Neurospora crassa OR74A: one gene and its partners. Each later gene encodes a partner of the first gene's protein in a complex. Links are inferred from orthologs where the notes say so. Each region holds a gene or a part of one and is shown in the gene's direction. Other genes may lie near its edges.

Region 1 (2,718 bases):
TAACTTAATGTTATGTAACTGTAATGTAATATTTTGTAATGTAACTGTAATGTAACTTAATATAATGTAACTGTAATGTAATATAATGTACAGTAATGTAACTGTAATGTAATGTTACATTACATGTAATGTAATGTAATGTATTGTAATGTAATCTTTATATGTAATGTACTAAAGATTACGATAGCTAGCCAGTTATATACTGGCTAGCTATCGTATGATTATTGTAGCCATTAGGGATAGCCTAATGGCTACTTGATTATCATTAGATATACTGCAACAGCAGTAAATACACTGTTGTCGGGAGCCTCAGTGGTATTTGCTGCTTTGCGGTGGTGGAATTGAAGAGGTTACTAGATTCTAGTTAATTTTTGATTCCACCATTGTATATATAATGATACAAGTAGCTAAAATAATAGGAACAGGGCTAGCTACCACAGGTTTAATCGGAGCTGGTATAGGTATTGGAGTTGTATTTGGCTCATTAATAATAGGGGTTTCAAGAAACCCTTCGTTAAAAAGTCAATTATTTGCATATGCAATTTTAGGTTTTGCTTTCTCGGAAGCGACAGGATTATTTGCTTTGATGATGGCTTTTTTACTTCTTTATGTTGCATAGTAATGATAGAGATTAGGAATAAAATGATGTATGGCTGCTTAAATAAAAAATATGGCTGCTCTTCCTGCTTAGCTAGCTAGCTAGCTTCGAGGGACCCCACGAATACGGCCCACACACGAAGGTGTGTGGGGTATTCGTGGGGGGCCCCCTCCTACTTCCTGCCTACGAAGTCTAGGCAGGCAGGAAGCAGCCTTAATAATTTAGCTAGCCATAATATCGCGACCACCCTCCTCCACTCAACCCCCCCCTTGGCGGCCCCCATCTTTCCCCCGCCCTGCAATACTGCAGGGGGGCATAATTAAATGTGATGGGGACCTTGAGCAAAGGAGGGGGTACGCGAGTGGAGGAGGGTGGTACTTTTTTGGGAGGGAAGCTGAGCGAAGCTGAGCGAAGCTGAGCGAAGTGAGCGAAGTGTGCGAAGCTGAGCGAAGGTAATTCATTTTTTTGGGCCCCCGCCCCGAAGGGGGCGGGGTCCCCCGAAAAAACAAAGGACGCTAGCGTAGCCTAACCTTATGAGCAGCAGGCTATAAAAACCCATTAGGCACAGGGTATACTTCGTTAGTGGATAAGAATTAGCCTAGCCTTAATATACAATACAGTTTAATGTTATATTTAAATTCTATATTTTATGAAAAGATATAATATATTTATTATTATGGTTTAATATTCAATATAGAATATTCTATTTCTTTTTTTATGGGATTATTATTTAATAATTTAATTATGAATTTTGATGCTCCAAGCCCATGAGGTATCTATTTTCAAGATAGTGCTACTCCTCAGATGGAAGGTTTAGTTGAATTACATGACAATATTATGTACTATCTGGTGGTAATACTATTTGGTGTAGGATGAATCTTATTATCTATAATAAGAAATTATATCAGTACAAAATCACCAATTTCACATAAATATTTAAATCACGGTACATTAATCGAATTAATATGAACTATTACTCCAGCAGTAATATTAATATTAATTGCTTTCCCTTCATTTAAGTTGCTATATTTAATGGATGAAGTTAGTGATCCTTCAATGTCAGTTTTAGCAGAGGGGCACCAATGATATTGAAGTTACCAATATCCTGATTTCTTAGATTCAAATGATGAATTTATAGAATTTGATTCATATATAGTACCGGAATCCGATTTGGAAGAAGGAGCACTAAGAATGTTAGAGGTGGATAATAGAGTTATCCTTCCTGAACTAACACACGTTAGATTTATCATCACTGCAGGTGATGTGATACATAGCTTCGCTGTTCCATCTTTAGGTGTTAAATGTGATGCTTATCCTGGGAGATTAAATCAAGTATCTGTTTTTATTAACAGAGAAGGAGTATTCTATGGTCAATGCTCTGAAATCTGTGGTATATTACACAGTTCTATGCCTATAGTTATAGAGTCAGTATCTCTAGAAAAATTCCTTACTTGATTAGAAGAACAGTAAGACGATAAAATAGTTTTTGGCTAAATAAAGGAACTCGGGGGACCCCACGAATACGGCCCACACACGAAGGTGTGTGGGGTATTCGTGGGGCCCTATGTATTTGAGTATGAAGCCATCTAGTGGTTATCTCTCCCCCCCTCCCCGCAGGTTTGCGGGGGGGGAGCGAGGGGGTAGCGATAAAAAGTTTCTAATATGAAGAGGATGACTTATGGAATTAACTCCACTCCCCCCCCCCTTAAGGGGGGGAGTGGAGTGGAACGGAATTAACTCCACTCGCTCCCCCCCCCGCAGGTTTGCGGGGGGGAGCGAGTGGAGTGGAACATCCGGGAGGTGGTGGGTTATATTATAAACAATATTCGGGGGACCCCGCCCCCTTCGGGGGCGGGGGGCCCATTAACTGGAAAGCACCCCCCCCTTAAGGGGGGTGCTTTTAATTATTATTATTTTTATAGGTTAATTAGGTTTAAAAGGCTACCCGCCCCCCCCCCTGCAGTACTGCAGGGCGGGGAAGGGTTAAAATAACAAGCAAGTTCCTGAAGTCTGGCGTAGCCTAGCGGAAGGAACCTTGCTTAAATCCAAAAACCTTTTAAAGAGTTACCAAGACTGAACCGGGGGCTAGCCCCCGATTAGGTAATTAATAAGTTTATGTA
Region 2 (3,485 bases), on another chromosome or scaffold:
GACAGAAATGACAGCCATCATCACCCGTCTGACCGCATTCAACTCTTTTGTAGGATTAACCGTGTTGATTCCTGGTCATCATGTACAATGCTACGCAAAAAAAAAAAGGAGGCAACCTTTCTCGAGAACACTTTCCTCGTTCCCTTATCGAACATACGCCCCATGCACAAAAATCCCTGGTTGTTCGTTTAGTGCTTCTCTTCGTGAGCAGCGTGGAGAGCGTGCGAATCGGCAGCGCGGTTCTGGCGCTTGAGACGGATGGTCTTGTCAACGACAAGGTGGCGAGTGATGGAGTAGATGGCAGCGCTGACGGCGAAACCGACGACAACACCTACTCAGTCAAACAATTTCCCCCCTTATCAGCACTCGATCCAGGATGGCATCCATATGTGTAATAGCTTGGTGCAAGCTTACCGAGAGGCCACAACTCAGCGGGAATGGTCTTGATGCGCATGCGGAGGCGCTGGGAGACGGTGTGGGCTGTACCGTAAATGACGTTGTCAGTCGCGGATATCCCCCCCTCGCGCAATTATTTTGAAACCCTCCATCTCCATTGCCAACTGGGGTAGATGCTCCTGAAGCTCCGGCAAATTGTGTAATAGCTTTTGTTGTCGTAGAATGCAACGGTTGGGTTGTTCGTTCACGTACCGGCCTGCTCCTCCTTCTATTGCAAGACAAAAAATCCCATGGTTAGTAACTCTGACGCAATGGCACCTCCCAAAGCTTCGGAAAAGTCGCGGACTCGAGACCGGGTATAGCTCTTACGGGAATGGGGCGCATCATGCGGGGGGTCTGGCGGAAAGCCTGGCGGGCGACACGGGAGGCGAACATCTTGCCGACGTGGAATTGAGTGGAGATTTGTCTTGAGGGATGGTGTTGCGCTACCGCGGTGGACGAAGAGAGCAGCTTTTGCGATCGAGGTTGGCAATTGAACTTTTGGCTTCTTCGCCTCAAATCAAGATGCGGGAGTTCGAGCGTTGAGCTTCGTTCGGCTGCACGGACACTAGCCGGGTGGGTTCCACCTGCTGTTAGGTGAGGTCAGCTCACCGCAGCTGGCGTCCAGCTGTCCCCGGATTCGGTCGAGGCGGGAATCATTGCCCGTCGGAGTGCCGTCACCATTCGGGGATTGCCAAGACGCTGCATGAGTGCTGAGGTGCCGCGAAAGTTGGTGCCTCAGGCTTCCGGATCGAGGCAGTCTCTACTACTACAGCGGACGAAGCGCTGGCTTCCAGAAGGTGCATTGCCTGGCACTGCCTGGACGGGGAAGGAGGACAGCGCACTGACTGCAATTCGTCAGAGCTACCAAAAGCTAGCACCCGTGCTGTGGAATCGATCCACTCGGCTCACCTCGCCTCATCATCGACGCAAAGGTCAGAATCTCACAGCAGCTCTGCTCTTCCACGTCCCCGTCAACACCCGCACCTGGTCCAATCCCACAAGCCATTGAGCTTCCGCCTCGACACCAACTCCCAGACACCACCACCCCCGCGACCACCACCGCAAACCACCGCCAACATGTCCGACGACGAGCGCGTTACCAAGCCCTTCAAGTTCGTCACTGGTACGTACAGGTTTAGTCCCTGAGAATTGGACCTCTGCTCCCCCAAGCAAAGATCTAAATTCCCTCGGCCAAAAATCATGCCGTGACCTCATTGCGCTGGGCCGGAATTTCATTGCTAACAAACGCACGTCGCAGCCGGTATGCAACCACCCTTACTCTTGCTTTTCAAACACATTTAGCTCCTCCGCCGAATTTGCCGAAGATCGGCAGCAAGCCTTCAAATCCTTCACTCGCGATGTCGCCGGAATCCCCGATATACCCCGGTTGAAGATAGAGCTCAAGCTCTGTTGGCACGGGGGAAGAAGAGGAGTGCATTGTGGAGACCCCGAACTTCGAACTTTGCGCGGCACGGGGCAAACACCCCTTCTCCATGCCAGCAGCTGCTAGCTTTGCGGATGCGGATCACGAGCGAGCGAGCAGAGCCATCAAAACCAGCACCAAAGAGAAATCGCCAGAAAAAGAAAAACCTGTGTTCTGACGTATTGCGTGTTTTTTCAAAAACTATTAGGTGTCGACGCCCGTTTCCCCAACGTCAACCAGACCAAGCACTGCTGGCAAAACTACGTTGATTACCACAAGTGCATTCTCGCCAAGGGCGAGGACTTCGCTCCCTGCCGCCAGGTTAGCCGCACCACCACCACTAATTTCACCACTGCCGTCAGCTGTTGCTTTGCCGGATGAGAAAGAGAAAGGGGAAACGTGGGGACCGGATGGGATACAAAGCCAGACTGAGGACGACAAAGCTACGAAACGAAAAGGGACCCGAATGCTGACTGACACCTCGCTGTTTATTAGTTCTGGCTCGCCTACCGCTCTCTCTGCCCCAGCGGCTGGTACCAGAGATGGGACGAGCAGCGTGGTACGTAACGGGGAAACAATCCTTTTTTCACTGCTAGGAAAGGGCCGATAAAGGGCATGTTCACTGACAACTTCTTACAGAGGCTGGCAACTTCCCCGTCAAGCTGGAGTAAATACCCCTGAAATGCTTGTATGACGCGACACAGATTGGTGGGTGGATGATGACAAAAGTCAACCACCTATCAGGACTCACTTCACCCTACATCAAACCTAGTTGTATTAGAAAGCTCTTGGTAGTATTGGCGAATGCACATAGAGAGTATGTTGGGGTTGGCGCAACGAAGATTTCCCGTTGCATCTTGCTGAAGTGATGTTATCGAAATGAAAAAAATGAATCAGATCAGCGCTCCTTCATTGAACTGAATTCAGTATTTCACTAGGCTTTGTATGATGTGGCCTAGATGTATAGTATGTGGTATCATGAAAACCCCCTTTGTCCCTATTCGCTACTCATGAGACAATTTAAACAAAACCAAACTCCCGATAACGCCATCTATGAGTTGTCTTCCCGAGGCAGTCAAGAGAGTCAGGTTCACCCGTTACATCCCAACTTACACCACCGAGATCTCCATGAGTCTATGACATCTTCCATCGAACTCTCACTCATCATCAGAGCTCATAAATTCATCATCGTCATCAAAGCCAGCGAAGGTCTTGATCTGCGCCTTCGGTTGCACCGTCTCCTTCTCTTTGCCTTTTAACTTTTCCTGGTCCACCACCATCTTCGGTTCCGGCTCCGGTTCCGATGGTGGTGTAGCCGCACCATCCCGCTCACTCTCCTTTTCATCCTCACTCATCGCTTCACCCCCGGAAGACGACCCACTCCCACTCCCCGAACCGCCCTCCCGAGGATTCGCTGCATTCGCCGCAGCCGCCGTAGCCGCCAACATCGACAGATTATCCGTGTACGCGCCCTTCTTCAGAGCCGTCATAACCGCCTCCCTCGTCCTCTCATCCAGCTCCTCCTTATCCTCCACCCACTTGCCATCCAACATGAACCCCCCACCTCCTGCCTTCCCATGCCTGATCTCCTCCTGCCGCTTCTCCGTCTGCTCCACAATTTGCT
Region 3 (3,383 bases), on another chromosome or scaffold:
GCGCCGTCGGAGAAAATGTGGTCTGTGCGCTACTTAGCTGTGTTTAATGATTTCCAATTGCCTCCGCGTCATTGCTTGCATGCACTGGACCGGGGTTAAACAGACAGTGCACATGGCATCCGGGCGGGCGGCGGAATGGAGCTGTGCAGATTATGCTACACTACAGTACAGTACTGCCCTGTACAGCACCGTTGTTGCCGTTTACAGGGACGGACCCAACGAAACGCTGAAGTGTTCTCGAACTGAGTGAAGGTCCAGATCGAATATACTATCGAAGCTGATATTCAATCCGGTCAACTGAGTGGCGATCATCAGCCAAGACATAAAAAAATCAACAACAGCAACAAAAAGTCAAGATGCTCAACGGCAAAAAGATCATCACCATTGGTTTGGTAGTAACCTTTGGCATCGTGAATGGTCCGGGCTCTTTGGTTGCATGTGCTTGTGATTGGAAGAATAAAGTCTGACGTCTCTGCAGGATACTACACATTTGCCCCCAGTCTCCGGGCGGAGAAGGAGAAGCGTGAAGGCCTAAACCTTGGGTGAGAAGATGAGCTTGAAACAATCAAGTGCGGTTAAGACTGGATAGACTAACATGACACCAGTCCCCCGGCCAAGCCCTCTCCATATGAGATTAGGAAGCAAGAGTGGGAGAAAAGAGAATGAGATGTAGGATGCTAGCATGGAGTAGAGTAACAACTAGGTATCGTGATCATACCATCGACCAAGGCATGAGTTATATATATATATTTGGAGGGATATGTCGGTGCATAGCTGTCCCTCTTTTTGTTTTCTCGAAACTCATGACAGCAATTCGTTTGAAACGAAGCATCCAAGGCTTCATTTTCGTTCTGCCGCGTTTACTGTACTCATTGCGGATAACATGACATGAAATATCTCTCTGCAAGGCTTTAATCTGTCTAAAGACCCTGTCGTGTCTCCCACTCCGGACAAGCAAACAATAAACTTTGTGAGACAGTGACGTCTGGCATGTGAGTTCCGTTTTTCAGCTGCCAGAGAATCGAATCGTCGTCATCCAAAAGTCAACAATGAACAATGGACACTCCAGTCAGCCCAAGGACAAAACGTCCATGGTGTGGAAACTGAAGGCGGTCCGTGCCAGCTGTCAAGAGTGTGGAATTGCCAGGTGAGGGGCTCCGTTTCTGAGCGCCAGACACGCAAAAGCTGCCCGTTCACCACTTGCCAGGCGGCCCTGGTCAGCCTGCCGTGAGTTGGCTCCCGGGAAGATACGGGGCCCCAAGCTAGGTAAACTGTGACAGCGAGTCTCATAGCGCTCTGGTTTGGGGGTGTTTTCACTGGCGGGCACTGCGTTCGGGGTGAGCAAAGTGGGCATCAGGCCATCCCAGGCATTCCTCGAGTTCCGAGCTGAGGCCGCATCCCCGTTTCGCCTACCTGCGAATCCCGTTCGCCCAAAAAAAAGCTCGTCCTTTGCATGACTTCACTCCTCGCACAAAATCACCGTCGACGATCGAGCTCCAGGCCTCCGACCACGCACGCGGGCGACTCAATTGGATCCATCTCCACCCCCGACTTCGAATCCTCCTCAACTTCCTAATCTCTGTCAGCCGACAATCCGCCGCCACCATGCTTCGCACTCCTACCGTCTCGGCCCTCGTGCGCAACGTCGCCGTTCGCGCCGCCAAGCCCACCATGGCCGTCCGCGCCGCTTCCACCATGCCCATCTCCAACCCCACGCTTGCCAACATTGAGAAGAGATGGGAGCAGATGCCCATGCAGGAGCAGGCCGAGCTCTGGATGGCTCTCCGCGACCGCATGAAGGGCAACTGGGCCGACCTTACCCTCCAGGAGAAGAAGGCTGGTAAGTGAGAAGTGGAAGGTTGAAGGTTGGCGAAATGCCGGGTGGAGCTCGACCGTCCAAGCTCCGAGCTAGTTGCATCACCAACGCCCGCCTTGAAGCTCCCCCCCGTCACCCTCACTCTGCGACAACCCCGAGCTTCAAACAAGCTTCACGAGCTCCCGGACAGCTTTGGGATCGTTGGGCGGAAATGGATCTTGTCGGCCTAGAGGTTATCGGTTGATTGATGGGTTGTTGGGGGACGCTGGGAGAAGGCTGAGGGAGTAATGGTGCGCTACATTGGAGGAGAAGAGGAGGGAAGCTCCGACGACAAACCGCACCATGACAGCCATCAAGGTCGTCTCAAGAGACACGCAGGCCCAGACCACAGAAAGACTGACATGTACTCTCTCTCAACGCAGCCTACTACATCGCCTTCGGTCCCCACGGCCCCCGCGCTCTCCCCCCTCCCGGCGAGCAGAAGAAGGTCTTGGCCTACACTGTCGCCGGTGTCTTCCTCTCTTTCGTCATCTTCGCTACCATGCGCGCCTTCGCCAAGCCCCCTCCTGCCACCATGACCAAGGAGTGGCAAGAGGCTACCAACGAGTTCCTCAAGGTGCGTCGGCTCATATCGGCTCTTTGTTGGCAACCAGATCAACTAACACATATATCACCAACAAACAGGCCCAGAAGTCCGACCCCCTCACTGGTCTCACCTCCGAAGGCTACAACGGCAAGGGCCACGTTCAGTCTCCCTCTGCCAGCGCATAAGTTTCGCATACTTTTATTGGTGCTCAGGGGTAGACTCATCCTTCGTTCTCTCGGATATCGGCCATGTCAAACGAGTCTGTGAGGATCGGGGGAAAGGACAGTGGTGGCATTGGAATGCTTTGGGGCGCTTAACACTTGGGTTGGTGTGTAAATACTGTACAGCTGACAATGCATTATCATTTCCTTTAGCCGGCGCGTTCGTTTTGTTGTCCGGTGTAAATGGGGGTCATGGGGGTTTAGGGAGATATGGAACTTGGTAGAGAAGAGTGAGCGGATGGGGATAGCTAGATTCGGGCAGTGAGGCCAAGCTCCTGGATATCAAGATGAAACGAGGTATTTGAGGATTTTGAGGGAGTAGCATCGTCACACGCGGAAAGAAGCTTCCGAGCTTTTAAGGCGCCTAGCACCTTTTCAGGATGACGTCTCTTGATCCCTGCTAGGTGTTTCGCTGCTAGTAAGAAATGACACTGTTTGTTTGTTTGTTTGTTTGTTTACTTGACATGGCCGAAAAAGGGGTAAGCTACCCTGCTCCCAGCACCCAGCCGTATCTCACTCGGTAGCCCGTACTTCGGATAAGAGTTACGGGCGATGATTTCACATCCGGGCCTTCGGGACGAGAACGCCACTCATAGTCCTGCCTCATCCAGATGCTCTTTCTTCGTCCTGATGTTTTTGCCTGCTGCGGCTGTCCCCTCGTGACCAACCGTCATCCATGAAGTTGCTGGATTGATTTCAGACTGCGTGCGGGGCTCCATCCCTCGGCGGGCTCTTCCTCCTGGCAGACATCCCATTCAAT

What was found.
Region 2: the proteins of NCU16028 (region 1) and NCU06741 are in contact, whole or in part, in a cryo-EM structure (PDB 8C8Q), measured with the Schizosaccharomyces pombe proteins. The link is inferred for Neurospora crassa OR74A from reciprocal best matches to the Schizosaccharomyces pombe genes cox2 and cox12. Residues at the interface, in YP_011104938.1 of Schizosaccharomyces pombe: Asp104, Val106, Pro109, Ser110, Met111, Thr112, Lys114, Ile116, Arg118, Glu125, Asn127, Asp128, Phe129, Val130, Glu133, Thr169, Arg172, Ile174, Thr176, Gly198, Arg199, Leu200, Asn201, Gln202, Leu237, Phe240, Leu244, Glu245; in NP_588322.2 of Schizosaccharomyces pombe: Gln12, Phe13, Thr14, Phe15, Gly16, Thr17, Val18, Gly19, Phe20, Thr27, Asn28, Gln29, Thr30, Cys33, Trp58, Gln62, Ser63, Leu64, Cys65, Pro66, Met67, Glu68, Trp69.
Region 3: the proteins of NCU16028 (region 1) and cya-4 are in contact, whole or in part, in a cryo-EM structure (PDB 8Q1B), measured with the Schizosaccharomyces pombe proteins. The link is inferred for Neurospora crassa OR74A from reciprocal best matches to the Schizosaccharomyces pombe genes cox2 and cox5. Residues at the interface, in YP_011104938.1 of Schizosaccharomyces pombe: Asp10, Ala11, Pro12, Ser13, Ser14, Trp15, Gln20, Asp21, Gly22, Glu146, Glu147, Leu149, Glu150, Glu151, Gly152, Ser153, Leu154, Glu158, Arg209, Glu210, Gly211, Leu212, Tyr214; in NP_588158.2 of Schizosaccharomyces pombe: Pro136, Arg137, Thr138, Trp143, Lys146, Ser147, Tyr150, Asn154, Lys155, Ile156, Asn157, Pro158, Ile159, Ser160, Gly161, Glu162, Arg170, Gly171, Gln172, Ile173, Ser174, Phe178.

What each region holds. Positions count from the first base shown.
Region 1 is NC_026614.1:58,214-60,931, forward strand, and holds NCU16028 (cytochrome c oxidase subunit 2), read left to right. Parts: upstream 1-1,315; coding exon 1,316-2,068; downstream 2,069-2,718. Other genes in the region: NCU16027 (ATPase subunit 9), read left to right, coding at 395-619.
Region 2 is NC_026502.1:2,087,632-2,091,116, reverse strand, and holds NCU06741 (cytochrome c oxidase subunit VIb), read left to right. Parts: upstream 1-1,354; 5' UTR 1,355-1,515; coding exon 1,516-1,561; intron 1,562-2,069; coding exon 2,070-2,182; intron 2,183-2,356; coding exon 2,357-2,420; intron 2,421-2,500; coding exon 2,501-2,532; 3' UTR 2,533-2,859; downstream 2,860-3,485. Other genes in the region: NCU06740 (hypothetical protein), read right to left, coding at 189-331, 415-480, 649-664, 766-831; NCU06742 (hypothetical protein), read right to left, coding at 3,019-3,485. UniProt on the Schizosaccharomyces pombe protein: Component of the cytochrome c oxidase, the last enzyme in the mitochondrial electron transport chain which drives oxidative phosphorylation.
Region 3 is NC_026502.1:1,656,379-1,659,761, reverse strand, and holds cya-4 (cytochrome c oxidase subunit IV), read left to right. Parts: upstream 1-1,464; 5' UTR 1,465-1,605; coding exon 1,606-1,840; intron 1,841-2,238; coding exon 2,239-2,432; intron 2,433-2,500; coding exon 2,501-2,587; 3' UTR 2,588-2,776; downstream 2,777-3,383. Other genes in the region: NCU16537 (hypothetical protein), read left to right, coding at 357-417, 479-542, 606-666. UniProt on the Schizosaccharomyces pombe protein: Component of the cytochrome c oxidase, the last enzyme in the mitochondrial electron transport chain which drives oxidative phosphorylation.